Drosophila melanogaster: one gene and its partners. The protein of the gene in region 1 interacts with the protein of each later gene in a biochemical or structural test. Each region holds a gene or a part of one and is shown in the gene's direction. Other genes may lie near its edges. The genes, in order: Su(H), Kdm5 and N.

What was found.
Region 2: the proteins of Su(H) (region 1) and Kdm5 form a complex in vitro, tested with the Drosophila melanogaster proteins (one study listed by BioGRID).
Region 3: the proteins of Su(H) (region 1) and N form a complex in vitro, tested with the Drosophila melanogaster proteins (4 studies listed by BioGRID).

The regions. Positions count from the first base shown.
Region 1 is NT_033779.5:15,035,644-15,046,816, forward strand, and holds Su(H) (suppressor of hairless), read left to right. Parts: upstream 1-3,844; 5' UTR 3,845-4,293; coding exon 4,294-4,677; intron 4,678-5,451; coding exon 5,452-6,332; intron 6,333-6,390; coding exon 6,391-6,598; intron 6,599-6,663; coding exon 6,664-6,975; 3' UTR 6,976-7,691; downstream 7,692-11,173. Other genes in the region: yellow-c, read left to right, coding at 1-153, 943-1,348, 1,408-2,085; CIAPIN1 (cytokine induced apoptosis inhibitor 1), read right to left, coding at 2,229-2,342, 2,411-2,907, 2,997-3,132; ck (crinkled), read right to left, coding at 9,771-9,977, 10,047-10,167, 10,236-10,382, 10,445-11,010, 11,070-11,173. UniProt on the Drosophila melanogaster protein: Transcriptional regulator that plays a central role in Notch signaling, a signaling pathway involved in cell-cell communication that regulates a broad spectrum of cell-fate determinations.
Region 2 is NT_033779.5:5,994,096-6,003,687, reverse strand, and holds the start of Kdm5 (lysine demethylase 5), read left to right. Parts: upstream 1-4,186; 5' UTR 4,187-4,390; intron 4,391-5,923; exon of another isoform or gene 5,924-6,005; intron 6,006-6,902; exon of another isoform or gene 6,903-6,974; intron 6,975-7,156; 5' UTR 7,157-7,197; coding exon 7,198-8,659; intron 8,660-8,801; coding exon 8,802-9,592. Other genes in the region: Tsp26A (tetraspanin 26A), read right to left, coding at 1,951-2,019, 2,095-2,211, 2,419-2,529, 2,605-2,883, 2,944-3,024, 3,089-3,376. UniProt on the Drosophila melanogaster protein: Histone demethylase that specifically demethylates 'Lys-4' of histone H3, thereby playing a central role in histone code. Does not demethylate histone H3 'Lys-9', H3 'Lys-27', H3 'Lys-36', H3 'Lys-79' or H4 'Lys-20'.
Region 3 is NC_004354.4:3,133,066-3,142,883, forward strand, and holds the start of N (notch), read left to right. Parts: upstream 1-1,804; 5' UTR 1,805-2,602; coding exon 2,603-2,762; intron 2,763-9,818. UniProt on the Drosophila melanogaster protein: Essential signaling protein which has a major role in many developmental processes. Functions as a receptor for membrane-bound ligands Delta and Serrate to regulate cell-fate determination.

The DNA.
Region 1 (11,173 bases):
GGAGGAGAAGTTCTCGTGGAAGCAACTGGCCTTCGATTGGCCCACTCCGGAGGCCGAGGCGGAGGCCAAGTCGAATGGCCACTACATCGTGGAGAACAACCTGCCGCTGGGCGTGGAGCGTTGGCAAAACAGAATCTTTGTCACTGTGCCAAGGTAAGTAACCAAATTCATAGACAAAAAAAAAAGAGACAACAAACTTACGGTAAGCTGTAGTTAGGTTTTCTTTTTTTTTCTTATTATTTACCTTTTTTGTTGGCTTGGTTTGTAATTAAATGTCAAGCTAGACTTGCAAAATCATCGAGCGTCAGGAGGGGAAACCGGTTTCCTCGCTGGCTAGTTAACTTTATCATTTTTTACCCCATTTGTGTATGTCTATTTTGCATTTTAAATCGTGGTTTCTAAATGCAAATCGTAACATGAGGTTAATTATAAATTAATAAGAGAAAACACATGATCGGAAAATTCTATGGAATATTATGGATCCCATAAAAGGCTAACTAGGTAACTAGTAAACAAAGTCTTTGTGACGTCACCTTTTTGGGATTTACCACCGATGCGCTTATTGGCCAAAAAGCCCCGAAAACCATTCTGCTTTTCGGGAGATATGAGTAATCAAAACAAAATTCGATTTAAAAACATTTCGAAAAATAAGATACGTAAAAAAAGTATATTTTGTTGATAATACAGCATAATTATTTAAGCTATAGTTGCCGTCAAAGTTTTAACTGATAGTGCTAAGATATAAATTAAAACTATAGCTTATATTAGACTATATCCAATCAGTCATAATAATTGCGCAGGTGAATGGTACTTTTTAATGTTATTAATTTGTTACTTGCCAGTGTCAGGTTTAAATGTAATTAGTAACTAAACAAGTCTGAAATGTAAATTTTTTAGTTAATTTATTTCTCCTCATTATTAAATGATCTACTTTCCCTTTAGATGGAAGGCTGGTGTTGCTGCCACACTCAACTACATCGACATTAATTCGACGGAGAAGTCGCCAAAGCTGCATCCGTATCCCAGTTGGGAGGCCAACAAGCTGCCCATCGATGTGCAGCCACAGGACCAAAAGACACCATCCGGTGGACGTCTGGACGCGGACAAGGCTCAAGATGCCGGCATCCAGCTGAAGGACAACTCCACTGTCATTTCCACCTTCCGAATTCAAGTCGACGTATGCGATCGCCTGTGGGTGCTCGATACTGGCTTGGCCGACATCCTGGGCAGTCCCAAGCAGATTACGCCCAATTCAATCCTGGTTTTCGACTTGAAAACAGATACTTTACTGCGCCGTTTCACCATTCCCGCTGATCAGACCAAAGAGGACTCGTTCTTTGCGAATATTGTGAGTATGCATAGGCGTATTATTTAAATTCCAAACTGATCGAATTAATCAATATTTAGGTTGTGGATGCGGACCGCTCGGAGTGCCAAGATGCCTTTGCTTACATTCCGGATTTGGGTGCCTACGGTGTGATTGTGTACTCCCTGAGGAACGACAAATCCTACCGCGTCAAGCACAACTTCTTCCACTTCGATCCTCTGCATGGTGATTTCAATGTGGGCGGCGTGAACTTCCAGTGGACGGATGGCGTTTTTGGGCTGGCCGTGGGCCCAATGAATCCAGATCACTCCAAGGACATTTATTTCCATGCCCTGGCCAGTACCAAGGAGTTCAAGGTTTCGAACCGCGTGCTGCAAAACGAATCACACGTGACCGCTGGCGATTCGTATTACGATTTTAAATACGTTGGTGACCGTGGCATGAATGGCCAGTCCACCGCCGAGGTCTTTGACCCCGAGACCGGCGTCATCTTCTATACGCAGGTGAACAAAGACGCCATTGCTTGTTGGAACATCAAGCGTCCATACACTCCGGACACCCAGGGGCTAATCGATTCCGATTCGCACACTCTGGTCTTTCCAAATGACATGAAAATCGACAATGAAGGCACTATTTGGGTGCTGTCCGACAAGATGCCGACATATTTGTACAAGGAACTCGATCCCTCGGCCGTCAACTATCGTATTTTGATGGGCCAGAACCGCGATCTCATCAAGGGTACACCATGCGAAATGTGATCACTTGGATATTTAAATCTACATGCTGTGTTTATGACGCGGTGCATTTTTGTATTTACATTATGACATTATTGTTTGTTAGTAAGTCAGCTTAATAAACTATTTGAAATGTGATTGATTGGGTATACCATGGTGAGCCTAAGTTAAATGTCGGATTTCAGGAGGTTGTCGGCCAGTTGCACCTTCTCACCGGGCTTAAAGGCGGGCATGCCCAAATAGGGGCAAGTGGAGCAGCGGAAGGCGTCGCCGAGATAACACTGTGCATATAAGAAATCAGTTATAATCGAGGTTAATGCTAACTCACATCGGGGTTAAGAGAACTCACATTTCCACAGCTTGACTTGGCATTCTCGGTGGCCTTCTGGCTCTGTTTTTCAGTCTCCAATTCCTCGGCCAGCCCGCAGGAGCAGTTTTTGCACGCCTTGCGCTTGCCCGTGGTGCTACAGACACGCAGACCAGCCGGATCCGGCTTCTGTTTGTCTTCCTCGTCCAGCAGCTCCTCCTCATCGATCAGTTCCTCATCGTCACCGCTTATCTTCCACACATTGACTGCACTGGCGTTCTTCTTTGCGAATGACAACCTGGCTGAGGATCCTGTCTCGTAGCCAGGCTTCTCGGCGGTCAAAGCATCTGGAGAGTCCTCGCGACAGTTTATGAATCCGGATAGCTTGATCTCCTGCAGCAAACTAGCCGCCGGACCGATGTAGGACACCAAATGCAGTTTGCCACTCGGTTTCAGCATGTGCAGCAGTTTTACGTAACTGTCGGTCAGCTGGGCGCACTCGATCACAATCAGGTCGAAACTGGAGTTGGCATAGGAAGCTGTAATGCATAAACATCACTGATTTTAATCTGCTGACTCACTGGCTAGTCAAAAACAGCACACACACACCGCACCGCACGCAACTTACAAAACGAAAGGCGGTGCACATTTTCCAAAGCCACATCGCCGCCAGTGGCCGCCTTTAGTTGCTCCACGCGCTTGTCCAAGTCGGCGCTGTCCGTCCATATGTATAGGGATTTTTGTAGACCCTTAAAGTTCTCCATTGTGGATGTGTTTCTAGAATATCTCAAAAGTTCAAGCACCGAACGGAACCGATTTTTGATTTCACAAGTTAGATATGGCAATGCACCGAAAATCGAGCGGTGATATCGATTGTACCTGCCTATCGGATTGCAAATGATATTCAGTGATTGTAGATTTTTCCACTTTACACTGTGACTGCTAAAATATATGAATAACTAAGTGTACTCCACCAGATTCGTTTTTTAATGAGTTACAGCTTACATTCTGATACATAATTAACAGCTTTTAGTTGCATATTGTGTGTTTCTGCCACTAAACCTATTTAAACGGTTACATTTAAGCCTAAAGTCGCGAATTATCTTTTAAATTCACCCATGTGTACTTTCCCACGGCCCGTTTTAAAAATGCATGGACAGTTAGACAAGAAGGTTGGTAGTTTGTACCTTGAATTTTAAATGTGGGCGCTCAAAATCGAAGTGTTCAATGAAAATCGATACCTTTCGCATCAGTTAAAAGTATTTATAGATATAAGAAATAATATCTTTAACAGTGATGTGATGGGAATAAATATACAAATGTATTCAGAAACTGCAAAGTTAAAACAAAATATATTAGCTACTCCAAATTGGCTATAAAATAACCAAATGCCCACTGCCATCCAAATCCAACCAACAGTGCTGTGAAGCGACAAACATATCGCCGGTAGGCAGCGACTATCATAAATAAGCGCCTATCGGACTATCGATACAACATCAACATCCTCAGTCGCTTTTTTAGTTGTAGCATATTATAAATATAACTCGAGCGCTAGTTGCAGCCTTAAACAGAAGCCAGCCGCCACTACCGCTAGTCGCTAGTCAAGATCTGCTCGAAACGCTGAAATATGTGTGATTAGTCGTGAATCGCAGCTAGCCGCAAATCCAGCTTGAGCTACAACAACAAAGCCAATCCGCGGTTAAGAGGAAGAGAGTGCGTGAGAGAAACGACAGCTGCTCTGCGTGTGTGTTTGTGCAGCAGGATAACAAAATAGAAAACATACAGCAGCAACAACAACAACAAAAACAGCACCAGCGAACAGTGTATAAAGTGCCAAACGAATTTGCCAAATAGCCAAAAACGAAATAATAGAAAAGATCCAAACAAAATTCCAATAAGTTCAATGCAAGGAGACATGTGCATAAATGAAGAGCTACAGCCAATTTAATTTAAACGCCGCCGCCCCGCCCGCCATTGCCTACGAAACTACGGTTGTAAATCCCAACGGCTCACCCCTCGATCCTCACCAGCAGCAGCAACAACAGAGCCAGGATATGCCGCACTTTGGACTGCCCGGTCCGCAGCCGCCGTCGTCGCAGCAGCAGCAACAACAATTGCAAGTGCACCACCAACAGCAGCAGCAGCAGCAACAACAACAACAACAACAGCAGCATCAACAACAAATGCAGATGTCCTTGCTGCCGGGTCCTTACCGGCCACACATCGAGGAGAAGAAGCTCACGCGGGACGCCATGGAGAAGTACATGCGCGAGCGCAACGACATGGTCATCGTTATCCTGCACGCCAAGGTACGAAAGGATTTCCACTTTTAAGCCGGTATTATCAGGTGCTTGGTCTGGATTTAGTATTCAAGATATTCTAAAACATACAAGGGAACTCCTGAGTCTTAAGTCTTAATTAAATTATTTGAAGCTTGAAATACATTATTTCAATATTACTAAAAATATATTAACCCAAACTGGAGAAACGTAGGATATCCTAACTTTCATTTAAATTAGAAACTTGGTCAGTTTTGTACGTCGATTTCCTAAATTATTCGATTTTTTAGATTAAATAGATTAAATTCAGATTTTCTTTCTATTTCAAGTTTAACGATGTATCCTTTCTTTGAAAATTACTTGTATGCTTTACAAGATATTTATTTTTTTTTTATAATTTAGTTTTAATCTAATCGGTCAGTCCGCAACGCCAAAACCACACCCACTATTTAAAGGTGCTAGTGTTTCCATTGTCCACTTTAAAGTGTTACATTTTTGCGGTTTTTGGCGAACGCAGACATGAAAATGGAATAAAATTGTCGCGGTTGCTTTTAGCGGTGGCGATCTTCAAGCGACGACTGCCGCCAAATGGGAATCCTTCACACTCGACTGCCCGCAAATTGAGCAACGCGAGCGCGGTCCAGTCCGCAATGAAAATAATTGAAATTAATTACAGAAAATTAACAAAGCTGCATTGCTTGCGGTTTTGATATGATTTTCCGATAATCTGGACGGCAATTTGTACTAATTGAATTTTCCCTGCACCATCGTGCGCCTCTGTCTGTCTGTCTGTGTGAATTCCAGGTGGCCCAAAAGTCCTATGGCAATGAGAAGCGATTCTTTTGCCCACCGCCGTGCATTTATCTGTTCGGAAGTGGCTGGCGCCGGCGGTACGAGGAGATGTTGCAGCAGGGCGAGGGCGAACAGGGAGCACAACTATGCGCGTTCATCGGTATCGGGAGCAGTGACCAGGATATGCAGCAGCTGGATCTCAATGGCAAGCAGTACTGTGCGGCCAAGACGCTCTTCATCTCGGACTCGGACAAGCGAAAACACTTTATGCTGTCGGTGAAGATGTTTTACGGAAACGGTCATGACATTGGCGTTTTTAACTCGAAACGGATCAAGGTTATATCCAAGCCGTCCAAAAAGAAACAGTCGCTAAAGAATGCCGATCTGTGCATAGCCAGCGGCACCAATGTAGCCCTGTTCAATCGCCTGCGTTCCCAGACTGTCTCCACCCGTTACCTTCACGTGGAGAACGGACACTTTCATGCGTCGTCAACACAATGGGGAGCTTTTACGATACACCTGCTGGATGACAATGAGTCCGAGTCGGAGGAGTTTCAGGTGCGCGATGGTTACATTCATTACGGAGCCACAGTCAAACTGGTGTGCTCCGTAACGGGCATGGCCCTGCCACGTCTGATCATCCGGAAGGTAGACAAGCAGATGGCCCTGCTGGAAGCCGACGATCCCGTTTCTCAGCTGCACAAATGCGCCTTCTACATGAAGGATACGGATCGGATGTATCTCTGTTTGTCGCAGGAGAAAATCATACAGTTCCAGGCCACGCCGTGCCCCAAGGAGCCGAACAAGGAGATGATCAATGACGGCGCCTGCTGGACCATCATATCCACCGACAAGGCTGAGTACCAGTTCTACGAGGGCATGGGTCCTGTGGCGTAAGTATAGCTTACTTACAACTCAATGGATTAGTTTTCATTTCGTGTTTTCTTCCAGTTCTCCAGTCACTCCAGTGCCAATCGTTAATTCCCTTAATCTCAATGGCGGCGGGGATGTGGCCATGCTAGAGCTGAGTGGCGACAACTTTACGCCGCATCTGCAGGTGTGGTTTGGCGATGTGGAGGCGGAAACCATGTACCGCTGCACAGAGACATTGCTATGCGTGGTGCCGGAGATTTCACAATTTCGAGGCGAATGGCTTTGGGTAGGTTTTCCAATGTAAATCTGTTTAATACGCGCTATAAATTTTACTTTTAATGGTCCTTGCAGGTACGTCAGCCCACGCAGGTGCCCATTTCGCTGGTGCGCAACGATGGAATAATTTATGCCACCGGTCTGACCTTCACGTATACACCTGAACCAGGTCCTCGGCCGCACTGCAATACACAGGCCGAGGATGTGATGCGAGCGCGACAGAACAATAACAATAATAACATCACTAGCATTAGCAACAATAATAACAGCAACAATGCGGGATCGCCGGCAGCCGGCGGTGGCTTGCAACAACAACAGCAGCAGCATCAGGCTCTGCCCTCCATCTCAGAAGTGCAATGGAATAGTCATGGTAGCGGCTTATCCTGAGTGCAGGATTATTGCATCGCACACATATGTATCCTAAGTTATTTATAGTTTTTATCGAAGACCTTAGTTTGTAGATTGACAATTTTTCTCATACTAATTTTCAACCCCTCGTGACGTAAACCAAAATGTGTCCCCTTCTCTCTAAAGTGAATCATACTTTACACATGTATCTAGTGCTAGTTCGGAACCAATAGAATTGTAAATGACACATAAAACTCTGTACATAACTCGAAAAGCTCACTGACATACATACATACATTTGTATGTGCATGAATATACCTTTACACAAAACATGTAATTCTAGTTAAATATACAATTGATGTAAGTTTATAGACGATTTTTAGATGCGGTTGAAATATTTATGATTTTCTTTGCTATGAATTTCCAAAGATCTAAATGAAAAAAAAAAATACTGCGAAATGCATCGGAAATTTTTATTATACACAAGCCAGTAGCCACGCTACAAAAACATTCCATTTCCCTCTTTAGCTTTCTAAAAAGTCGAAGACAAAGTCAAAAAGGGAAAAATTTGTTTCTGTACATACAGTTTTGTTGCATTTTTTTATTAACTTTGGAAATTCGTAGCATTAAAAATCCCAATAAAATATTTTGTAAAATAAAATCGCAACAAGACAAAACAGCGATTTATTTAAGTGTAAGCGAAATGCCTAACATAAATAAAAAAAAGAAATCCCAAATGATGACAAAGAATAATCAAATCATGTCAGCTTATGTTTTTGGTTTAGCGTGATTCTTCTGGTTCACCATTTTTCCTGTGGCCTAAGGTGGAGCGCTGGGGAGGATTGGTTGCCTTAAATTGCTGTGGGAATATTACCCAGTATCGTGTGAATATTTTTAAACAAAACAAGTGCAGCTCTTCCCACGATGGTTTGCCTCAACCCCCTCGGACGGGCCGACTTTAATTATAGTTTGGTCTGGAATTGCTGAACGCGAAGCTAAGAAGCAAATATACATAGATATATAACACTATTGTTTCCGTTTTGGCCAAGTTAAGGAGCAGAATATTCTCACAGCCCAAAAAGCCGCTGCCGAGCTGCTGTGAGAATTTTTACTGCCTTTGTTGAATATTTATGCATTCGTTGCTGCTGCTGTCTTTACAGATTTACAAATTAAGATTCGCAGTTTTGAATTAATTATCGCTCACTTCCGCTCGACGGAATCAGAAGGTGAGCGCTGGCCAAGCATTTAATCTCATCTTGCACTTGGGAGACATATTTCTTATCAGAGTCAGCCAATAGGAACTTGGCTGCAACCCCTAAGATTTTACTGCACCGGGCGATGGGAACGAAAGACTTAAACAACGAACTTTGGTTGCGTGAGGAATCAAACTACTGGCGGCCGCCTGTGTTCATTATGATGGAAAAACCACCACCAAAAGTTCTGGCTCTGGCAATTGGAACTGCAACCTCTTAAGGTCGTCGCCGTCTTATAAGAAGCTGAATATGAAATTAGTTTGGAATTTTTAATGAACAATTCCTTCACATTTCCCCAGGCCCTCTTTCTCCACCACTGTTTGGATAGGCGAGTGCGATGATTGTGGTCGTTTTTAGAAAGGGGGAGACAGCAATTTCTAAAAGTTCTCAGGACTGCTACACAACCTCATACCGTCTACTAAAAAAGTTCATTATCTTGAAAAATCTAAGTCTACCTGCCGTCGTCTTTAGTCTTTAGCTTGCCGTGCCGACTGCTGCCGTTTTTCACACGCTGGGGAAAAATGGAAATTCTCGCAAAATACAATGCGTGGGAAATCGGTGGCGTGGGAGTCAGGCAAGAAAATCAAGGGAAACTATATAATCCAGTCCTATAAAAATTTGTATTCACAAGACTTTGGACACGTACTCCCTTCCATGCGCGGTAAATCCAAAGCCGTAGGTCAAGATTGGTAAATCGATGGCAAAATCGATCGGATTTTCAAAGTTTATAGGGGTCGGTCGTAACCGTTACTTCAACTTGTTTAGTTCCATTGTTGTTACTTAACAAAGATATTTATATAAGACTAATTATTTTATTTATTAATGACTTTAATGAACTATTAACACTTGTGCTTACACAGCATTTTTTGTCTAAAATAGATTGGTTTGTTCTATACGAACCCATTTTCAAGACTTGTCACAAGCATTTGTTCAAGTTAAGTGTTATTAAGTGTCCAAAGTTCGTTTGTTTGTTTCTAAACGAAATGAACTTAAGACATTTAACTACGTGTTTGCACGTTTGTTTGTGTCCGAAGTATAATTTTCTAACCGTTGATCGAAATGAAATTTGCATTAATCCAGGTCAATGAGATGACCTTACCTTCCATCCGATTCTATTAAAAAGACCACATAATTTGTATATAATTTATTAAATAATTGAACATTTCTATGTATTTGATACAAAACGTCATCAGTACAGATATGCAGTTAGGATATACAAAGATATAGATGCAATATGTGTAGATACAAATGCTTATCTAAAAATATGTAAGACCTTTTCTTCATACAAAAACATTGTATTTAATAATTTAACCGGAATGTGCCATAAGAATACCTAAACGTGTAATTGCAAAAATTTATACAAATACAAATACTAAAAACAAAAGTTGCAAGTTGGTTTGGTATAATCGATAGCTGAACAAGACCAAAATTGGAATGAATTCTCTGGGAAGGGAATGCAATTGGAATAAAGGGAGGTGGGTATTAAGTATGATTTAAATCTATAAAGTACTAGGCTTTTATAAGTTATTGCAATTGTAATTTATAATTATTATAAATATTTTGCGTTATGTGTAGGTTTTACTAGTTGGCTCGAATGGTTCGATTTTTGTTCATATTGGTCAACATCAACGAGATATATGAAGTCAGCAGATCGTCCATCTTGTAGCCCAGCGACGTTTCACATAACAATTTCGAGCCCCTAACCAGATTTCCGATGGTCATGTGGAAATATGTATTGCCCGATGACCAATTCGAGATGCGTGTAAATGGATGCGTAACCAAAATGTCCTGAAGTTTTAAAATGTATCATGTTCTTGGTTTATATTGTAATAGATTTATATAGTTTATAGTTCTCACCTTGGTCACTGGATGTATGAGACTCACGCCGTGTTTGTTAATGGCTATCAATAGCATTTCGGGATAATTCGGTTCGGTGGTTTGCTTCACCTCAAAGAAAGCGGAGCCAAAAGTTGGCCATCTGTTCAAATATATTAGAAAGGTAGTTAAAAAAAAAGTCTATAAATATGATTACGTTGAGATACCCACCTATATACAATCTTCAAGAAGGCCACCTTCGCGTCTTCGGAAGTCATGCCCCCATCCTGGTTATAAGATGCAACAATCGATCGTTTCCATTCGCTAGTGCTCTGTATTTTCATAATATCCGATGGAATAAGTTCCCTCAGCATTTGTCTGAAAAGTAGTTTTTCGTTATTTATGTTGTTCTCGATCTTAATTGAATGATCTGTACTTACGGTATGGCCTGCAGTTCTTGTTTATTTTCACCAAAGCGCACACGGAAGACTAGAGCGGCCAGCTTAGCCGCCTCCTCCCTGGAACACTTGTGATAGCCACGCAACAGCTTGGGCAACTCCTGATGATAGTGGAATATAAGATCGGCATTCCGATCCTTGCCTGGCACTGTGTTCGTCCACAGTTTCTTCATGAAGAAGACCTGGTAAGTGAACTGCGGATTCGCTCCATCTCGTATGGGACGCGCTTTTTTAATCCAGTCGGTCAAATGGCGTACGAAATCGAAGAAGAAATCACCTTCGGGAACAGAGATGACCTTATCCGCGATCTTTACAAACAGGGAGAAGCCCTCGCTGGTGCGCAGCGAAAGGCGCTGCGAGATGTTGTTGCAGAAATCCTTCGCTCGAGTGGAGCTGTCCACTTCGAAGGCCTCGTCTGTGTCGTCCGGGAAGTAGACCTTGTGGAAGATCTGTGTGGTTTTATGCTGTATGGCTTCCACCTCCACCTGATGCGGCGGATATTTGCGTTGTCCATGGCGTATAGTTTTCTGTAGTCGATGCATTGAGTCCTGTGATGTGAATTAACAATAGAATAAAGAAAAACTAAAAATCTAAACAGTAAGGTCACCTGTGAAATGGGATGACGCCTGGTGCGCAGGAATAATAGCAATTCCTTGAGCAAACCCTGTGAACAGGCAAACAGTCCCGTGGCCAACCACATCAGCTCCCAGC
Region 2 (9,592 bases), 9.0 Mb from region 1:
TCGTTAAGCTTTATTATAAATTTTCTAACTCTTATAAATCTATGTTTATATACGCCTTAATAAATGCTGTTGATCTGTGCTTGACTGACTCTTATCGATCTCCAGCTTATTTTCAATTGACTTTTTTTCGTTACCATTATAGCAGAATGTTAACTTTTTTGCTTTTACACATTATTAATCGTACTATGTTCGTGATTTTATTGGCTTAGTAATTTAACATTGCACATGAAAATTTGGCCAGATGTTTATATGGAAAACTCTAAAGAGGATATACACCCAATAGCTGCCATAAAGTTAACTTTTTACATATCCAAAAAGTGTATTAGCTGCCACATCTGGCCAATTGCTCAGTTGCAAGTGTACATACAAGATTTTTGGGCATATTTTGTATCATTAATAACATTCTATGTACTTATGGTTTTTAAGGTAAAAGCATTTTATTATAACTATCGTCTTTTTGAGCATTGCAGCAATGTAGGCGTTGAGTTTCGACTTCTATTCACGTTTAATATTGAACAGCAATAAAAGTATGAACTGTTTTATAAATACAAGTTTGCAGACTGAGTTCTTAAAGTTTAAGACAGTTTAGGAAAACGTTTGGATACTGTTAGTTGAATTAGTTATCGTTTTAAACTGACTAAGATTGGCAAATTCTTTAGTTATCCAATTGTCAGTTAATTGGACCTTTCAGCTATTTGGTGAACACAAAAACGTAATACTCTGTTCGGGGCAGTGTTGTTTATAATCTCCATTGCTTTTGATTAGAATGTTTGCGAAATAGTATAAATAATACTAACATTGGAGTTTTCCAATACTACGTCTCTTTGCAATATAGATTTAAAAAGGTACAAGAGCGAATCAATGTTTTCCTTGTGAATCATGTTACAAGTGCGATATCAAGCAGTTAAACCAGCAATTGGCTTACTTTTTACTCAATTATAATTGCGTGTTGCAAAAATATATTCATATGCTGTAAAGCTTACCATTTGTTGTGCATAAATTTAGTTCAAGCTCATTAATATTAATATGCAAGTGGTATTGCTTTCTTCCATTTTACGATCTGTGATATTGACATTTGTCACAGAACTGTGTTTTTTGTTTCTCGCTTATAAAAATAACTATTATTTTGAAGACAAATATGTGTTGTGCTAGGTTGTATTTGTTCAGTTTAGGAATGAGATTCGTGGTGTGATCATTCGATTTGTTGGAAATTGTTGCATTTAATTTCGATTTCTCTATACTTTTCTTTAAAAATATATCACAGCTGCATTTCAAGATAAATTTTTCATTTTTCCTATGACTCCTTTTTCACTTTCTTTGTAAAATGTGTAGAAAATCTATTTAAAATGTTTTGCTCTTCTTTTTCTTATTTGTTCTTGGGCTAAAGGGAAGCCGACGTAAAAACAGCAACAAATTTGGCAACCTAGTTAATATTAGTCAATGTCCACGAAGACGGAATGCGTTTGCTTTAGTTAGACACATAGCGTACTCTTGAGTATAAATGGGGGTATGGGTTAAACTGGGTCGATTTTATGGACGCAAAAAATAGATAAATCGTGGGAGAGAAACCTAATCAATGAACATTTTATGCCAATATCAATATACAACGTGTGTCCCGAAAATCAGGGTTTACCATAGGCATTTGTGTTTTCTGATCAAAAGCGAAGGGTGAATCGTAATTTCCGGAACATAGTTACTTTGGCAATAGCATTAGGAATTGATCATTGACTAGATTCTATCAACGATTATCGTGCATCCAAATCGATTCACCCTAGTATGGGTTTACAAGGAATTTATAGTATAGTTAACTAACCGGAGCGTAGATGAGTAGATACAGATTCTTATTTTGAAGTTGGTGGATGCTCCATGTGGCTTACCTCGAAGTTTCCCAAATCCTTCGCCACCTTGGGTGTCCTTCTAAATGGCCGTGGGAGCAGACAGAGCCATTTGTCAGTGCCACTTTGACTTTTGAGTGTAGATATCGGCACGCAGGTTCTGAGCAAAGCAAATGCCCAAGATCTACAAAAAGTGTATCGTTACAAGAAGAATCTATCTATTGTCATAGTGAGAAAAATAATAAAATCAAACAGAAACCTGAAAAAACATCACAACTATAACAGTTGCGGAAATAATAATCAAGTTGTGCTCCATCCATTCTTCGCCTGCTTGAACACAGCCCTTTTCGTAGATTATTTTGGACAACTCCATGCCCTGGTAAGAAATTAAAAAAATAAAATAAATATAAAGTCTGTGGGAAATTATAAAACAAAAAGATGTAACTACTACGAGTAAAAACCATATTTTTAAAAAAAATGGGACCACCTTAAAAACGATTCTCTCATCTGAACTACACTAAACTTAAAATTTTCAAAGATTCAAAAAGAAATATACAACGACGACTATAGAAATGTTTTGCACCTGCAGGACGAGCAGAGCCACGCAGCCAATCGCCACACTAATCAGATGGGCCTCCAGCCAATCCTCGCCAGCGCGCAAGCAGCCACGCTCATGTATATTCCTATCCACCGGCTGCATGCGTACGATTCGTGGGTGAATTTCAATATGCATTTCGGAAAGACGGGGGAAAACAGCTAGCGGACTTACATATCCCTCCTTGCGTACATCGTAGCCGCATTGCTTGTTCTTGATCACCTCCTGCGGACGTCTGCGGCAGCAGGAGAATGGCACTCCGCACGCCTCCCTGCTGCCAATAGCGATAGACGAGCAATTGAAGTAGTTGTTGCTGTCCCAGTCCTTGGGACCATCAATGCCGCAACACTGCAACCAATCCTCCTGGATCCAATCAATGAGATTCTGCTGGTCTGCGTCCTCGCGATAGTGGCGAATGAAGGCCTTGAGTCCCTCGGTGGCCTGGTCTTTGATCTGGAAAAGGCAAACCTTAGTAATGGCTGGCTAGAATAGTGGCCTTCAAATGGAACTCACCCAGCCCTTGTCCTTGAGCACGAAGGCCACGGCACAGAAGCCGATCTCTGCGATAAGCAAGACACTCAAGAAGATGGCGTACTGCAAGCGGAAAAATAAGGATTAACTAGGTCCAGAGGGGATCCACTAACAATGTGGTACCCACCGCCCCCAGGAGGCAGGTGTTCTCGCGCAAGGCGCCCACGCTGCCCATGAAGCCCAGTAGGAAGGTGACGCCTCCCAGGATGATCAGGACGAAGGCCGGGTCCAGGGCGATGAAGTGCAGCCGCGCAATGTTGCGGAACATGCCCTTCTCGCTCCAGGCCCAGATGCCAACGGAGAGGACCAGCAGGGCCGAGAGCCACAGGATCACATTGCTGGCGAACAAAAGGTACTTCAGACAGCAGCTGATTTCACTGGTCTCGCGGCGGAACTTGCGCACAGCAGCTGGCATTGCTCCAATTTTAACAATAATAAATATGGCCAAAAGGAAACAAAAACGTATGAAATTCTGCTCGCCAGTGTGACCGTGACTGCACTTTTTTTATCACGCAGTGCGACGGCTCCAAATACGTTGCAAAGAATACCGTTTCCCAAGAAAACCGCCATTTTGTTCAATCTTACGAACTTTAAAACTTGGATGTTTGTTTTTTTTTTATTGATCTTGCATAAACAATGTATTTTACAGAAACCAGTTTGCGTATTTATTTCATTTTCTGCTGATTTGTTGAGTTGAGCAACAACAATTTCATAGGCATTACCGTTAACTAAATACTTATGTCTACTGGTTATTTTAAATATATTATACAAATTCAAATTCTTAAAGCCAAGGCTTAAATTAACACACAGTATTCTAAAAACAATAAAAGAGCTCACTTACTTATATTAATAACTTAGAATATAATTCACTCTTGTAGAATGCCAAACTTTCTTTTTTTAGCTTACCACTGTATTGAAACACATTTCATAAAATTAATTAAAAAAGCGTACTTAGGAAACCTTGCGTATATGCTCGATGGATCCTATGGATGTTTCAAGTCCTGTCCCTGAACCGGCATAGTGTTAAACGCGGCGCCGGCTAGACTGAGTAACGCCTATGACCGAACTGATTTTGAATCTAATACAGAAACGAAACAATAAACGGGGGGTCGGCGATAAGACGAGATCCGATTCGTCGACCTCCGCCGATAAGAAACTGTGTTTGATTTGAAGGCCAGTGCTGCACAACGCGGACGGTGGCTGGTATTTTCCCGAACTTTTGTGGGGCAGATCGACGTTTCCGGCACTTCGACGACGGGTCACACTGGACACATGTAGCAGGAAAAAACGCAGACATCGGAGAAAGAAATCAGAAAAGTAAATTCGCATTAAAGCCACCTCGCCAGTGCCGTGCTCGGTGGTTTTATGGAACACTCATTTCGATCACATACCGAGCGTGCGCGTCTTCCAACGACTTCCTATGACGACAGTGAGTTTTTGCCCAGTGTAGGGTGCCCAGTTCCCAGTGCCCGAACCCAGTGCGATTGTGTGCGTGCCAGTGTGTGAGTTTAGGGGCACTTCTGATGGCTGAAAACGTTTAATTAGCAGCGAAAAGCGAACAAACTAGCAAAACGCAGACGCCCACCTGGCCAAGTCGGTGCATATAGATCAGGAAAAGTGCGGATTGCAGCCTCTGCGTTGGCCAACAGCGAAAACAACCCCCCGCACTAGTCGTGGAAAATGTTTGTATGTGTGTTCCCTCTGCTGGCAGCGCAATCGGGATTCCGAAAATCCGTAATAATTGTGAAAATGCGGCCAGAAGACAACGCCAGGTCGCGGCTAGGTTAGGAACCACGTCGCGGATGAACGGATTACGGTGGAAAACCGCGGACGGAAAATCGCGCACCAATTGCACACGCCAGCAGAGCAGCGACAGCGCTGCAAAGTGCGTTGCGTCGCTGCCCGGTCGCCATCATAGCGAAAAATATTGTGATCCCACGCCTGGAAAGCCAATATATGCCACTGAGTTTAGTGACTTTCAAGTATATAGTGAATATATAGCTCCAGTCGAGCTGTTCGCGGGGAGTTACTATTCGAAAAGTACAGTGCTGCAGTCACCTTCCAAAAAAAAAAATCAGTTCAGCTTTTCTGTTTCCGCTCACCGCCACTCCCCCCACCGTTGGAAATGTGCAATATGGCAGGGCAAATGCGTAAATTTTGCGCTCCTGCTGGAAAGTAACCAATATCCAGTGCTAATTTCGCCAAATCCATCCATATTTATGTACATGCTCGGTGCGAATGTGTGTGCCTGTATTCGCGTACCTGTGTCTGTCGTGCCCCGTGTCCGTGTAAGCTGTTTGTTTGTGCCCGTGTAAGCTGCGTGCGGGTGTGTGTGCGCGGCTGAAAATGGAAATTATATAAAAGAAGCTTTCGGCTTAGGCTGCTTTTCCGAGCGATCGGCGGCCGCAGAACGGAAAATCAGTTTCCCCCGTCCAACACTAACAGCGAACAGCTGGCTGCAGTTTGGAAAATGGCACTTGTCACGACGCCGTGCTGCCCAATCAATAATCCGAAATCGCAATCCACCGATTTTGATTTGGAACGGATTCGCAGGGAAATAATATCCCATTATCCCGAGCAGAGCAGCAAACGTAGCATGCCTCTGCCGGCGTCGCTGTCGACGATGTACTTTGCTCACTTGATACACAAAAACGGTACTCGTCGTCGCTCATCTCGCTCTCTCTAGGCGAGAGCGGGCTCTTCCTGATCAAGCACACGGGAAACTATACACACACACACATACGCACGCACCGCCAGTCAGTCAGGCAGGCACACATTGCCCACCCACTTCTACTCCCTTTTCGGTGGTGGCAGCAGTGGCAGTGGCGCCCCACATTCGTGCGAGAGTGTGTGTGCGTCACAACAACCACCAAAGCAAAGCTCTGTCGCGGCGGCTTCCTTGTGTCTAGCTGACAAACGCGAAAAATCTGTTGGGAACTCCAGCCGGAAGTTGGAGTTGACAGTGGTTTTCAACATGGCTTCGTTTCCGCTTCTCGATTTCGTCAGCTGAATTCGTAGATAACAGCTTTCACCTTTTGCTCAGTGTATGTGCTTGTGTTAGTGTGTGTGTGTGTGTGCATGAAGGTCCTGTGTGCTGAATGTTTTGAATACAATGCGTATAAGTATAATCCCCTTTTGCACACTTGGTGTATACATGTTCGCTATCGAATTTGTAAGTTTATTGGTCGCTATGTTATACATACACACGGCCAGGAAATCCCCCGTGTTCGTGTCCGGGGTTGTGCCTGTATTGGCGTGCTCCACTTTTGTATGCAACAAATTCAGTGCTGCTGGCTAATCGCCGCTGCACTCTCTCTCTCTCTCTCTATTACTCCTCGGGAGAAGCCACATCCCCCTGGAGGGAAACATGCGAGAAAGGCATTACTTCGCCTAGGTCCAGTGCAGTTGCCCATCCTGCGATCCCGCCGGCGGCACTGGATACAACCTCACAACCGAAGTAATCGTTTGGTAACTGCACTTGCACCGTCGCAAAGTCGAGTTTTCACCTCTGTAAATGTTGTTTGTTTACCTGCGAGGGTTGAGTGCAGGCACCACAACACATATACACACACACACAGGTGTGCGGCGATTTGATGTAGATACAGTGGGCCGCAGGGGTTCCCTCTCCGATCAATAGGAGCGGTAGGAAAGTCCAACTAAGACGACAGTTCTCTTGTGGATATTAACCAATTTAAATCTGTCGACGGGGCAACGAATCGTTAATTAATGCAAGGGGCGCGGGGCGGGAGTGTGTGTATCTGAAAAGCCACCATAATAGCTCTACCAACAACAAGTAACCCCTAGTTGTTGAAATATTTATATATATACATATATAAACTGCAGTAACTACAATTATTATTGAGTTATTGCAAACAAACCTTAGATAAACTTTCATTGGCTTAAAAGTCAAATTTAAATAACGTTGTAATTAGGGAGAATTTAATTGGTATATTATGCCGTTTAAAGTAGAATAAACAAACTGCCAATAAGCCGTTTCTTACTAGCAACTTTAGGTAATGAGTACTGTAGTTGAAGCTGAAATACAAAGTAGCTAAACTGCCAAGAAGTGTGTCTGCCACAATAATTAAATAACCGGGACAGGTCTTTCAACCCTAATAACGAAAACAACCTTTCCGGAGCGAATTTAATATTACCAAGTTGTGAACTCATCCGTAACTTTTATTCTCTATTTCAGAACCGAGCGGAATAAATTTAATCTGAACTCATCTTAAAGCTATGTCCGCCAAAACTGAGGCGGACAACACGACGGCCGCCAACTCCGGCGGCGGAGGAGTCGGGAGCGGCACCTCATCCGGCGGGGGCGCATCCGCGAATGGAACAGCAACTCCGGCACGTCGTCTGCGTACCCGAAACTCAACGGGCAACGGGACTAATAGTGGAAGTGAGTCCGTAAAGAAATCCAATGCTAACGACGAGCCCTCGACCCCAGTCACCCCGGCAGGAGCAACAGGATCTCACACCCATGCTCCGCCAGGCATTTCTCCGGCGGTAATGGAACGGCCTATGCCCAGTGTTCCCATGAATCACGCCAGCAGCAGTGTGTCAGCCAGCAAAAAGTACCATAATAGTTGTCCTCATCCCACGCCCACGCCTGCGCCCACTGGGCACAAGAAGTCGGTCCACACGCAGCCGCACAGCAGCAACAAGTTTGACCAGGGAAAGAACGAGGAGTTCCACTTTGACACGCCGCCAGAGTGCCCTGTGTTCCGGCCCACAACTGAGGAGTTCAAGAATCCACTGGCCTACATCAGCAAGATCCGCTCCATAGCTGAGAAGTGTGGAATCGCAAAGATCCTGCCGCCGGCAACCTGGTCGCCGCCGTTTGCAGTGGACGTGGACAAGCTACGCTTTGTGCCACGTGTCCAGCGGCTGAATGAGCTCGAGGCAAAGACGCGCGTCAAACTCAACTTCCTTGATCAGATCGCAAAGTTCTGGGAGCTGCAAGGCTCTTCACTAAAGATCCCAATGGTGGAGCGAAAGGCTCTCGACTTGTACACACTGCACCGCATCGTTCAGGAGGAGGGGGGCATGGAGCAAACCACAAAGGATCGCAAGTGGGCCAAGGTGGCCAACCGGATGCAGTACCCCTCAAGCAAAAGTGTTGGCGCAACCCTGAAGGCACACTACGAACGCATCTTGCACCCCTTTGAGGTATACACTTCGGGAAAGGTTCTAGGACCCACACCAACGTCGTCTGGATCTGGTAGCACACCCGTCAAATTGGAGGACGGAGGTGGAACCGATTACAAAGCCCATGAAATTCCCACACGGCAGCAGATTGCGCCGCCCAACGAGACAAACACACGTCGCTCCAAGCGTTTCGGAAATTCCAATGCCAGCTGCGGCCTGAGTGGTGTTACACCCACAACAAAGCCATCAGCGGGCGTATTTGTCAAGACGGAGACCAAGGAAGAATTTAAGAGGGATCTTCTCAGCAGTTTCAATGCTGTCAACAGCGGCGGATCGCCATTAGCCACAGGTACTACGGCAAACACTCGCGGAGCCAGCCAGAAGAAGGGAGGAGAGCCTCCAGCACTTATCGTAGACCCACTGATGAAGTACATTTGCCACATCTGCAATCGCGGCGACGTCGAGGAGTCAATGCTGCTTTGCGATGGCTGCGACGACAGCTACCACACCTTTTGCCTGTTGCCGCCTCTGACCAGCATACCCAAAGGTAAAATTCTTATCAAAAAGTTTCTAACAAAAAAACCGTTTTAAAACTTAAAACAACTCAATTTTACATTACGTCGATTAGGAAGTTACAACCGTGTCTCATGCACTAATGCGAATAAACCTTTTCTTTTTAATCGTTCTAGGCGAATGGCTTTGCCCGCGCTGCGTCGTCGAGGAAGTAAGCAAACCGCAGGAGGCGTTTGGTTTTGAACAGGCAGAGAGGGAATACACTCTGCAACAATTTGGACAAATGGCTGACCAGTTCAAGCAAGAATACTTCCGCAAGCCGGTGCACTTGGTGCCCACTGAGATGGTGGAGCGCGAGTTTTGGCGCATCGTGTCATCTATCGATGAAGACGTTACCGTTGAGTATGGGGCGGACTTGCACACAATGGATCACGGCTCTGGTTTTCCCACTAAGAGCTCGTTATATTTGTTGCCGGGCGACCAAGAGTATGCAGAGTCAAGCTGGAACCTTAACAACTTGCCGTTGCTGGAGGATTCCATTCTTGGTCACATCAATGCCGACATTAGCGGCATGAACGCTCCGTGGATGTATGTGGGCATGTGCTTCGCAGCCTTCTGCTGGCACAACGAGGACCACTGGAGCTACTCCATCAACTATCTTCACTGGGGAGAACCTAAAACCTGGTACGGTGTTCCGGGGTCCTGTGCTGAGCAGTTTGAAGAGACCATGAAGCAGGCAGCTCCAGAACTTTTTTCATCACAGCCCGATCTGCTTCACCAGCTGGTGACCATTATGAACCCGAACATTTTGATGAACAATCGTGTACCGGTATTCCGAACCGATCAGCATGCAGGCGAGTTTGTGATCACCTTTCCCAGGGCCTATCACGCAGGCTTTAACCAAGGCTATAACTTCGCGGAGGCCGTCAATTTTGCACCTGCCGATTGGCTGAAGATGGGGCGCGAG
Region 3 (9,818 bases), on another chromosome or scaffold:
ATTATATACATTATGACAAAACAAAAAGCCTGTGTAGTTAGTTGGAACTAAAAAAAAAAACAAAAATAATAATAATATAAAAGCAAACGAAAATGAAAAGTAAAGCAGCAGCAGCAGAAAGCAAAAACAATTTTCTAAGCCAAAATTTATCAAATTTTTTAGACTTAATTACGTATACATCAAACGAAACCAACTGAATGCAGTGAGAGAAAATATTTAGATTAAGTGCTGTGCTGCATCTGTGACCCGGTCAAGAAGAGCCAAAAGTAACATATATAACTATTATTTTGCACACAAACAAACAAAATTGAAATTGAATTGAAAACTATATTTTTACGGGATGCTACAGTATTATTGCAATTTAATCGATAATCCCCAAGCCGCAAAAAACTAAAAACAAAAAGATGTCCAAATATTGGTGATTTACGAGTAAAGTGAATAAAATTAGAAAAACCACCAACATATATATATATATATATATATATAGTTCCCACTTTCCAACTTTTTGATCGGGTTTTCAGTGGCACAGCATTTCAGCATCCATGTGAAAAGTTGAATATTTTTTTGTCTAGCCCTAAGCGCGTAAATGATATTTGAACTTAAATCAATTATGTAAAGAAGCAAATGAAATATTGTATATCGTATATATATATATATATATATATATATAGAGCATAAATGTGTATGTCAACGCTTGAATTAAAAAATGACTAGCTAAGATTAGAGAGAATGTTTGTAATTTTTTTTTTTTGTCTGCCTAGTTTAGGTTTAAGCCTATTTATAGACGTAAATGAAGAATTTTAAAGGTAAAAAGAAAAACTTAAAAAGCTTAGAAACAATTTGTAAAACATTTGAGCGATCTACCAAAAAAAAAAAAAACGCAATTAAGTGTAAAGCGTTCAATTTTTAACACGAAATGCTGCCTTATGATTCCTCGTTGGGTTCTTAATTCACTAAGCCAATACTGTAATTAATTAACTAATTTATTGTTTCATATTTTATTTTTTGTTTCTTTCGAGAATATACATATGTATGTATTTATCTAAAGTAATTCTGAAAATGCTTAAAAATAATGCCCGTTCGTTTAAACTGATTTATACACTCGAATCTAATTCTATTCTTTCCGTGGGCCAATTGCGCCGAGCTTTTTAACTGGGATAGCGTTCCGAAAATCGGAGATAAGTATGGTGTTACATATTTTTTTTTGTTTTCGATAATTGTCAAACGATTCAATTAAGCGTTCAATTATATAGACGTTACACACGAAACGAAATGAAATTCAAATGAAATCCTATTAAGCCAAGTAAAGTATGATAATTGCAGGAAGCGGAGTTGCGAAAAAAAAAGGTACGGAAAATGAAAACTAAGAACGTATTGCGGGAAAACCTAACTTAAGTCGAGAACAACTCAAATTAGTTGAAATAAAGATACGAGAACAAAAGGAAAATAAAATACTTAAAAAATGCTACAAGTGCGTTTTTCAATCAAATTTATGCACATTTTTTTCCAGTGCCTACGAATTTTACATTGTCGAATTTTACATTATACATAGCGTAATTTCTACGAATCTTACATTGTCGAATTTTACATTTTACATAGCGTAATTTCTACATACCGCTATGACGGCACTAAAGCGCCATTCGGCGAAATGGGGAAACTACTCATGCAAGCGGCTCGGAGCCCGGCTAACGTTATTTGTTCACCAACCGATCTCGCAACGCTGCGAAAGAGCGCGCTGCCAAAATGGCTCCCCGCCATACGGTATCTTTTTCTTGCACCGACGCGGTCACACTGCCGATTTGAAACAGATCGCTTTTTTCCAGTGGACGAAACGGTTGTGAAAGCGGACGAGCGTTAGGCAGACGAACCTGGAAAGCGCAGAGCACAGTTCTCAACATTTATTTTTTTTTTGAATGTGTGTGCAACAACGCACGTAAAATCGCGCTGCCAACAGGATATACAAACAAATCAATTACACAGCAAGCAAATGCAATGAAATGAAAAGGATGGCCCCAGCGGGAAAGCCGTTCAGCAAGAGCAAGGAGTGCCTGTCGCAGGGATAGCAACGAGAGAGCGACACAGAGAGCGAGAGAGAGAGAGGGAGAGAAACAAGGATTTTCGAAAAGTGTATCTACCTCGAGTCGCGCGTGTGTGAGAGTGAGACGAAAGCCGAGTGCAAGAAGCGCAAGAGGAAGAGAGCAATACGCAAGCGTGCGGCGTCGGTTTGAATTTGAATTTGTGGCTCGATCCTCGCGAAGAGAAAAGCAAGCAAAAGATACACGAAAAGCGTTCTTTTTTTGCCACTTTTTTTTTATGTTTCAAAACGGAAAATGTCGCCGTCGTCGGGAGAGTGCCTCCTCTTAGTTTATCAAATAAAGCTTTAAAGTCTGAAGTTCAAAACTATAAAAAACAAAAAAAAAAACAAAAAAACAACAAACGCGCTAAAACAAAAAATTGCTTAAACTACTGAGACTAGCATACTAAACCTAAACTCGCAGTTAAACATATCCTCAAAGAGAGACCAAAGAGGAGCGCTAAAGAAACCGAGAAGCGAGTAGAGGTGAAAAACTGGAAAAGTGGTTAACTGGAAAACTGGATTACAATGCAATCGCAGCGCAGCCGACGTCGCAGTCGCGCACCAAACACTTGGATTTGTTTTTGGATTAACAAAATGCACGCCGTTGCGTCGCTGCCGGCGTCGCTGCCTCTGCTGCTGTTGACGCTGGCGTTTGCGAATTTGCCAAACACCGTTCGCGGAACTGGTGAGTAAAGCGGAGACGCCGATCAGAACAACTAGGCGGGGGGAGGGCAGGGTGACAGGCGGGGTCGCCCGAAAATAGGGTGGGTGCACAAACTGGAATTCCAGGAGGCTCAAAACGTTCCAAAACGCTTGCCAAAGAACGGTTTTTTACAGAACCAAAACTATGAGATAAGATGATCTTGTATAGCTGAAAGATGTGGATCTCAACTAATAGTACTGAATCGCATAATTGTTTGGTCTTAGATGTCAGTTTTAAATGGAGCATACTTAGTATGAAACAACTAAAATTGCAATTACAAAATATACATACATTTGCATTGGACTAGTTCCGCTTAAACCCGTTGGATAGATCGCTACATTGCATAGCTAGGAAATGTTGGTCTATAAAATCGGATGCATTCGCAACACATATAAGTGACTGAGCAAACCCATGCAACTGTAATCCAAAAAGGAAGTGATGCTACTTAATCTGCTTAATAAGCCTATAGGATTGTTGCAAATCCTACCTTAAAGAATTTCACTTTAAACGCAATCGTCGGAATCCGCTCCCAAATGCGTTCTCTGTGTTTCTCCATTCCCTTTTCGATCCTCTTCGTTTGTCTCCCTTTTGGGCAGCTCCTCTTCGCTCTTCGCCTTCCTTTTCATGGCTTGTATTCACCGCGCTTCCTTTTGCGCTGTCTTCCTTGGCTTCGCTTTGTTGTCGCTTTTCGGACAGGTGGTCGTTTTTTTTTCCTCTCTCTTTCTCTCTCTCTCTCTCCTTGTTGTCTCGCTGATCTCGTTCTCGCTCTCGCTCGATCGCTGTCGCTGTCTCGCTCTCCGCCGACTGCGCATGCTCTCTCAGATTTGGAAACCCACCTTTTCGAAACAAGAAAGACCGTTTTTACCGTCGGCAAAAGGCGAGTTTTTCCATTCCCCTAGCACTCTAGGCACTCTTTCCTTTGTGTTTTCTCACTGCGCTATTTGCTCGCTAGTAGTGAGTGGCCAACTTCCTTTCCAGCTTTGGAAGCGAACTCTCCTCCTCCACACGCTGTGTTGTGCCGCATGCACATGGGGCTTACTTGGGTATTTGCATATGGAGCGGTCGTTGTCTAATCACTGAACAAACACCGAATCGTATCGGATCGGATCGGATCGGTTGTAGGTGTACTTAGGGTCGATTGCCCCAGTAAAATGTCAACTTTCCATGGAACTCGAAATCTCTTCGACGGAATTCTCGGCTCAACGATGAGAAAGTATGGGGAATGCAGCTCGATATCATAGTATTTTGAAACAAATTTGATAATGTCAGAGAATTTTTTGTTGTTTCATTATTCGAAAATCTATCGAAATCCATCAATCCATCAAACGTTTAAAAGCAATTAAATGATCATTACTAGAAATTTGATCCCTGAGCACTGGGCAACTTTATTATTACGCACTCCATGATCTCTGCTATTTTTTTTATATTTTTTAACAGCTGCAACCGAAGAGCGTTGAACTATTATGTTTATAACTTTTACCTGGGCATTTCCTGAGCTCGAGTTTCCGCCTCCTAAACTCTTTTTTTTTCTGGCTTTATTAGCCATGGGTAATCGTGTGATCTTTGCAGTTTTAGCCAAAGGAAGTTGTAGTAAAAGTTAAATAAACGGTATAAAAAAGTATACAAATGCATATGCATATAAAGGTGAAAAAAATGCTGAAAGTAGTAATAATAAGAGTGTTAATTGATGCCAGGATATATTGCAAAAACAAAAAGGGCATCCTTTGCATTCAGTTCACTTCATTCTACTACTGCGCTAAGAAAAAAGTGTTCGAAGATGGAAAAAAAAAACCAAAAAAAAAAACAAAAATCTCTCGAATCTTCATGTACATTTTTGTACCTATTAAGTTCTCACAAATTTACGCCCCATTAGCTCCAATCCAAGTTTGTTCAACTTTGTGCGATCGAACGCCTGCATTTAGCCACAAATTTAGGGTATTATTTTTTTGCAGGTTTAATGTGGCACGTAACGGTTTCGAGAAACGAGAACCAGAACCAACCACCGCATTCGATTTCATCATATATGTACACAACCAGGCGCATATAGAAAGAATGTAGTTGGAATAAACGACAGCTGGGCTCCTGGAGCCAAAAGTGAAACAGCAGCAGGAGAAGCAGGAGCAGCAGGAGCAACCCCTGAGTCCTGGCATATTGCACATGCGCGTCCTTTTTGCTGTTTGTTCAAAGATCAAATTACGATATGCTATGGCATGGCATCGCACGGCATGGTGTTGTTGTTTGTATCGTGAGCGAGAAGGGAAATGAGCGGGCATAGAGTAGAGATACTTTTGTATCTGCGCGCTCTCTCGGCTATTTCCTGTATATCCTGTGCGCACCCCAAAAACCAAAGAAGTAAAAACCGAAAACACATTTCTTGACTTTCGTAAGTCACGCACACGGCGGATCCCTAATTAGCCCTCGCCTAGACTTCAAGTCAATATAAATATACTACATAAAGTACTATATATGCATGTACATATATACGTAAGTATGTATGTAGCTCTGGCGCATGAAGTCGGCATGTATGGCGATGCATAACCAACATGCCCATGGTTATGGATCGTAAAGTGTGCACTTTATGGTCGGAATGGATCATCCACATAAAGTTGCAACCAAATTTAATGGAAATAAAAATTTAAGAGGGGAAAATGGAGGGAGGGCACTTAAATTGAAGGATCAACTAGAGATGAGGGTAGCAATACCTAGATTTATGTTCTTAAAAAGGAAGAGTACATGAAGTCAAAACTAGGCAACATTAAGTAAATACCATAAATACCATACACTATACATTTGAATAAATAATGCATTAAATGATCATTAAAAGATGTGAGAAGCAATTGGTAAGAATGCTTCAGTTAGTGAGTAAAACCAAGGTAGTCATTAATAACCAACTCAAATTGAATTCGAATCTCAATACCTCAATTCCATCAATATAAATAACTTTGTACTGTATGTCTGAGATGCATTTATAACACCTAAAGCAAAAAACCAGGCCAATTCCCACGAATGCAAACCCATTTCCAAGGACGCGGCACTTAAAAACGCAGATTATTGTGAAAGTCTCTCATATTTGGGCGTCTCAATTAATTTGAGACAACCACTTATCGACCATTTACTGTCGCATTTATTAATTAATCGACGCCGCCGACGATGGCCAACAGGGACAAAAAAAAAAAACCAGGAGTATCACTTGAAAATATAACTTTCCCATCAGTAACTTAAGAAGACTTAATTAAAAAACGGTACTCGTATATGAAATCGGCTAATTTCTCAAGTGTTAAATCTGCTGTTACTCCTTGCCTTTCGCTTGGCCAAAATAAAAAAAAAAACAAAACCTGTAAGTGATAAAGTAAACTTCAAAAAAAAAAATAAAAAAGAAAACAAAGTAAAGCAGAAGATGTCGAGGAATCTTGTTGCCTGGTCACTTGATATGGCATTGGTGGATATGCGGCAGAGCAGTTCCGTTCCGTTTCGTTCCAGACGATACCGATGCTCGATGCTCGATCCTGTTTTTCGGGACACACCTTTGGAAACCAGAATTGGCAAGGCTCTTCAGGTAGAATTTCATTTGGCAATGTGCAATGTCTTCTTCTCGGTAATCTTTGCTCTCCGGAAATCCACAATGTTTTTGCGCTCTGTCTTGGCTGATATTTGTTATTTGTTCCCATAGTCATTGCATAAACATGAAAATCATTTTCCCAGCCCATCTCTCTCTCTCTCTCTCTCTTTCTCTCTAGTTTATATATGTTGACAACTACTTTCCAAGTTTTGTCTTGGGAAAATGCCTCAAATGGCCAACGAATGAATTGAGGTTTTCTTCTCTACAGATATGTATGTACTGTTTTGCTGGCCAAACTAATTATGAAAACAGTCCTCACATGTGTCGGCTGCAATTAAATCCGTTTAGAAAAATCCATGGATTGTATGGATTCTAAATCTCAGCTCGTCTTGGCTTGGCTCGAACTGACTTAACTTGACTTGGCTCTCTACACTACACTCTACACTGCTCTTCTCTTCTCGGCTTTTATTGACTTTTAATGATGGCCAGGCGAATTAGTGCGCCCTGACTTACTCTTTCTGCCATGGCCAGTTTAATGAGTTTTCTTTATGGCCAACACATGTACATTTTCGAGTCGGTAGATACAGGTACTCACACACAGATAGTATTCGAGTCAAGATACAAGATACACACAAACAGAGACGACGAACGCACTGACCGAACAAGTTTTTAGTTTTTTTTTTTTTTTCCTTCTGTTTTCTTGGGTTTTCTTGGCTGGTCTCTTTGGTCTTCTCTCCTTTGTGTGGCTTGTTCTTGAAGTATCTGAGTGGTACAACAAAACAAAAAAAAAGGCTGACAACCTCAGAAGAACCCCTCCTTTCGACCCAGCCCCGCCCCTTCGCCCCCGCCCCTGCCCCCTTCTAAGAAACACACACCAACAGCAATTTTTATAGATATTACCCAAAGTGTCTTGTTTGGTTTGGTTTTGGCTTTGGGTTTTGGCTTTGGTTTCTCTTCTTCGTTTTTGGCCCGGTCTCTTTTTGTCTTCCAGGCTTTTGGGCTTTTAGGCTGCGCCCCTGCCACGCCCCCTAGAAATCCCCCTATGTTGCCCATGCGATTTACTCCGATACTCTTATACAGACAGATCTCTCATATGGTCGGTCTTTGAAAAGTGGAAAAGCGGTAGAAAAATATCGATCTTAATAATAGTAAATATGAAAATATAATAAAAAAAACTTAATTTTCCTCAATACTTTCTCGTGTATTATTGTTATAAGAATATAAAACTTGAAAATATTTTATAATTATATCAGTACCTTAATAACAATAAGAATAATTCAAAAATAATTTGAAAATTGCTGTTGTATGCTAAGTCGAATGAAATTTCGTTTCGATGCCCTGGTCTCTGTCATTAAAGAAATTTACGATTTCCTGGGCAAACGCAATCAGTTGGCATAGAAAAACTTCATGTTCTTGGCCAGGCCGACTCTGGCCTATCCCTTTCTCGTTCTATTGCTCGTTATATAGCCGTCTCTTTTCCGTCTTCTATCCTGTTTTTTGGAGGAGGCAATGAAAAATGACAATCATCATTATATACACTTGAGCGGATCGACGACAGTCGCCGATCGTGTGCTCGTCGTCTTCTCAAGTTGAAACTGAAATTGCTACGACTTTGTCGTCTCTTCCTACTTCTCCGCCGACATCTCCTTGTCTTTTTCAGTCTCCGTCTCCATCTTTATATTTTTCTCTTCACATGCGTGTTTGAGAATCATCTGGGGGAGAGGGAGAATAGAGATCGGTCCAAGCTCAAGTGAGTGGTTTGACTTTAAGAGATGCATAGATACTTTGGCTTGCATAATAATAATAATAATAATAGTAATGATCGCTGGTCGAAGGAAGAAGCCATGCAGAAAGATACGGGACGATATGATGGCGAATGATACTCTTTCATGGTGGTCTTGGGAGTCTTAGAATCATTACAGATACCCTCACTCAAAACATAAGCAAAGATAAAAGAATTAATTGCAAATTTGACAGATATGGGTTATATAACTATAAATTGGAAAACTATTATTGCTCACGTACAGCTAAAGGTTAGATACATTCTAAAGGTAACTGGATACCCTGATAGATCCTTAAGATAAATAAAAGGCCCCTTTGAAACTGCAGGATACACAAACACTGAGATAAACACATGCTTCAAGCTGCCACTTGAAAATGTATCTCAAATTTCAAGCGTCTGACACTCGCTGGCTCTATAAAGTACTTAAGATGAGAATCTTGAAGGAAATATGTAAGAAGGATGTCTCTGTTTTGGCTTGCGATTCCCAAACGAACGATTTGAAGTTTTAACTATAAATATAAGATAACTAAGTTTCGATTTTAGGTACATATGTACATATCTGGAATTTAAAGTCCAGTTTTTTTATGGCTGCATGATTGTTAGCAACTGCGTTCCACTTCATCTGAACGCTCACTTAGCATTGATTAGTAGCCATATCTCGCGGATGCATCTTTCTCTTTGACTTTTTCCCTTAGTGCTGGCAACCTGCGCGACATTTGCATAAGGCCATTTGCTAGGGCGCCAGAAGAACCGGCGTTCCTTCGTTGACAAATTAGCAGAGGTGGAAAGTAAATATGAATTGAAGACTCTGGCCTTTTTTTTTTCTTTCTTTCATCCATTTCAGTTTTGTCGTTTTCGGAACTTTAACTAAACATTCACACGCTGCTTTGTTGTCTGCCGGAAGTGTTAAATGCTTCAGTTTATTTAAAGTACATATAGACAAGAGGAGTAAAAGAGAGAGAGGAGACTCCATACAATATCACTCATATGCCATTATTTTTATGGATTTCCGAGCAACAACCCTTTTTGTTTGTGCGCCTGCGCGGCCTTTTTTCAGTTTGGCGCGCATTTCCTTCAGCCTCGACCTCTTGAACTCCAGCTCTTGCTCTCTCACTCTCTCCCTCTTCTCTTCTCTCTGCTCTCTCCCTCTCTGCACGCATTTTATATGTTTTTGCCCCGGCGAGGGCGGATTTTGTCAAAGTGTCGCATATGTTTTCAAGTGCACTTCAATTACCAAAAATACAAGAAAAAAAAAACCATATACTTATGTACATGCATATAGATTACTTACAACTGCAGCTGTGTGTCCTTCCTTTCCGGAGGGCTGTTTATCACTCATCCTCCCTGCCAAAACGTTTTCCAACCCCCCCTCTTATCATGCACTCAATTACATCGTCGGGTAGGTCAATTATTCCCATAATATTATCTTTCATTTGGCTAAGCATTATGCTAATCATCCGAGCTTCTCGTGTGGGAAAATAAAGTGCGAGTCGTCGTGGAAAACCGGCGGGGGAAAACGGAGTGATGATCATCAAGTGGAAACAGCGCTCAACTGTGAAAAGTTTTGCGTCTTGTAAATGGGTTTTTTTTCTACTTACCACACTTAGTTTCATTATCAAAGACAATTTCAATGTTAACAATGAAGTTCATAATATATTCTATTAGGTTATATTATAAACAATCCTGCTAAACAATC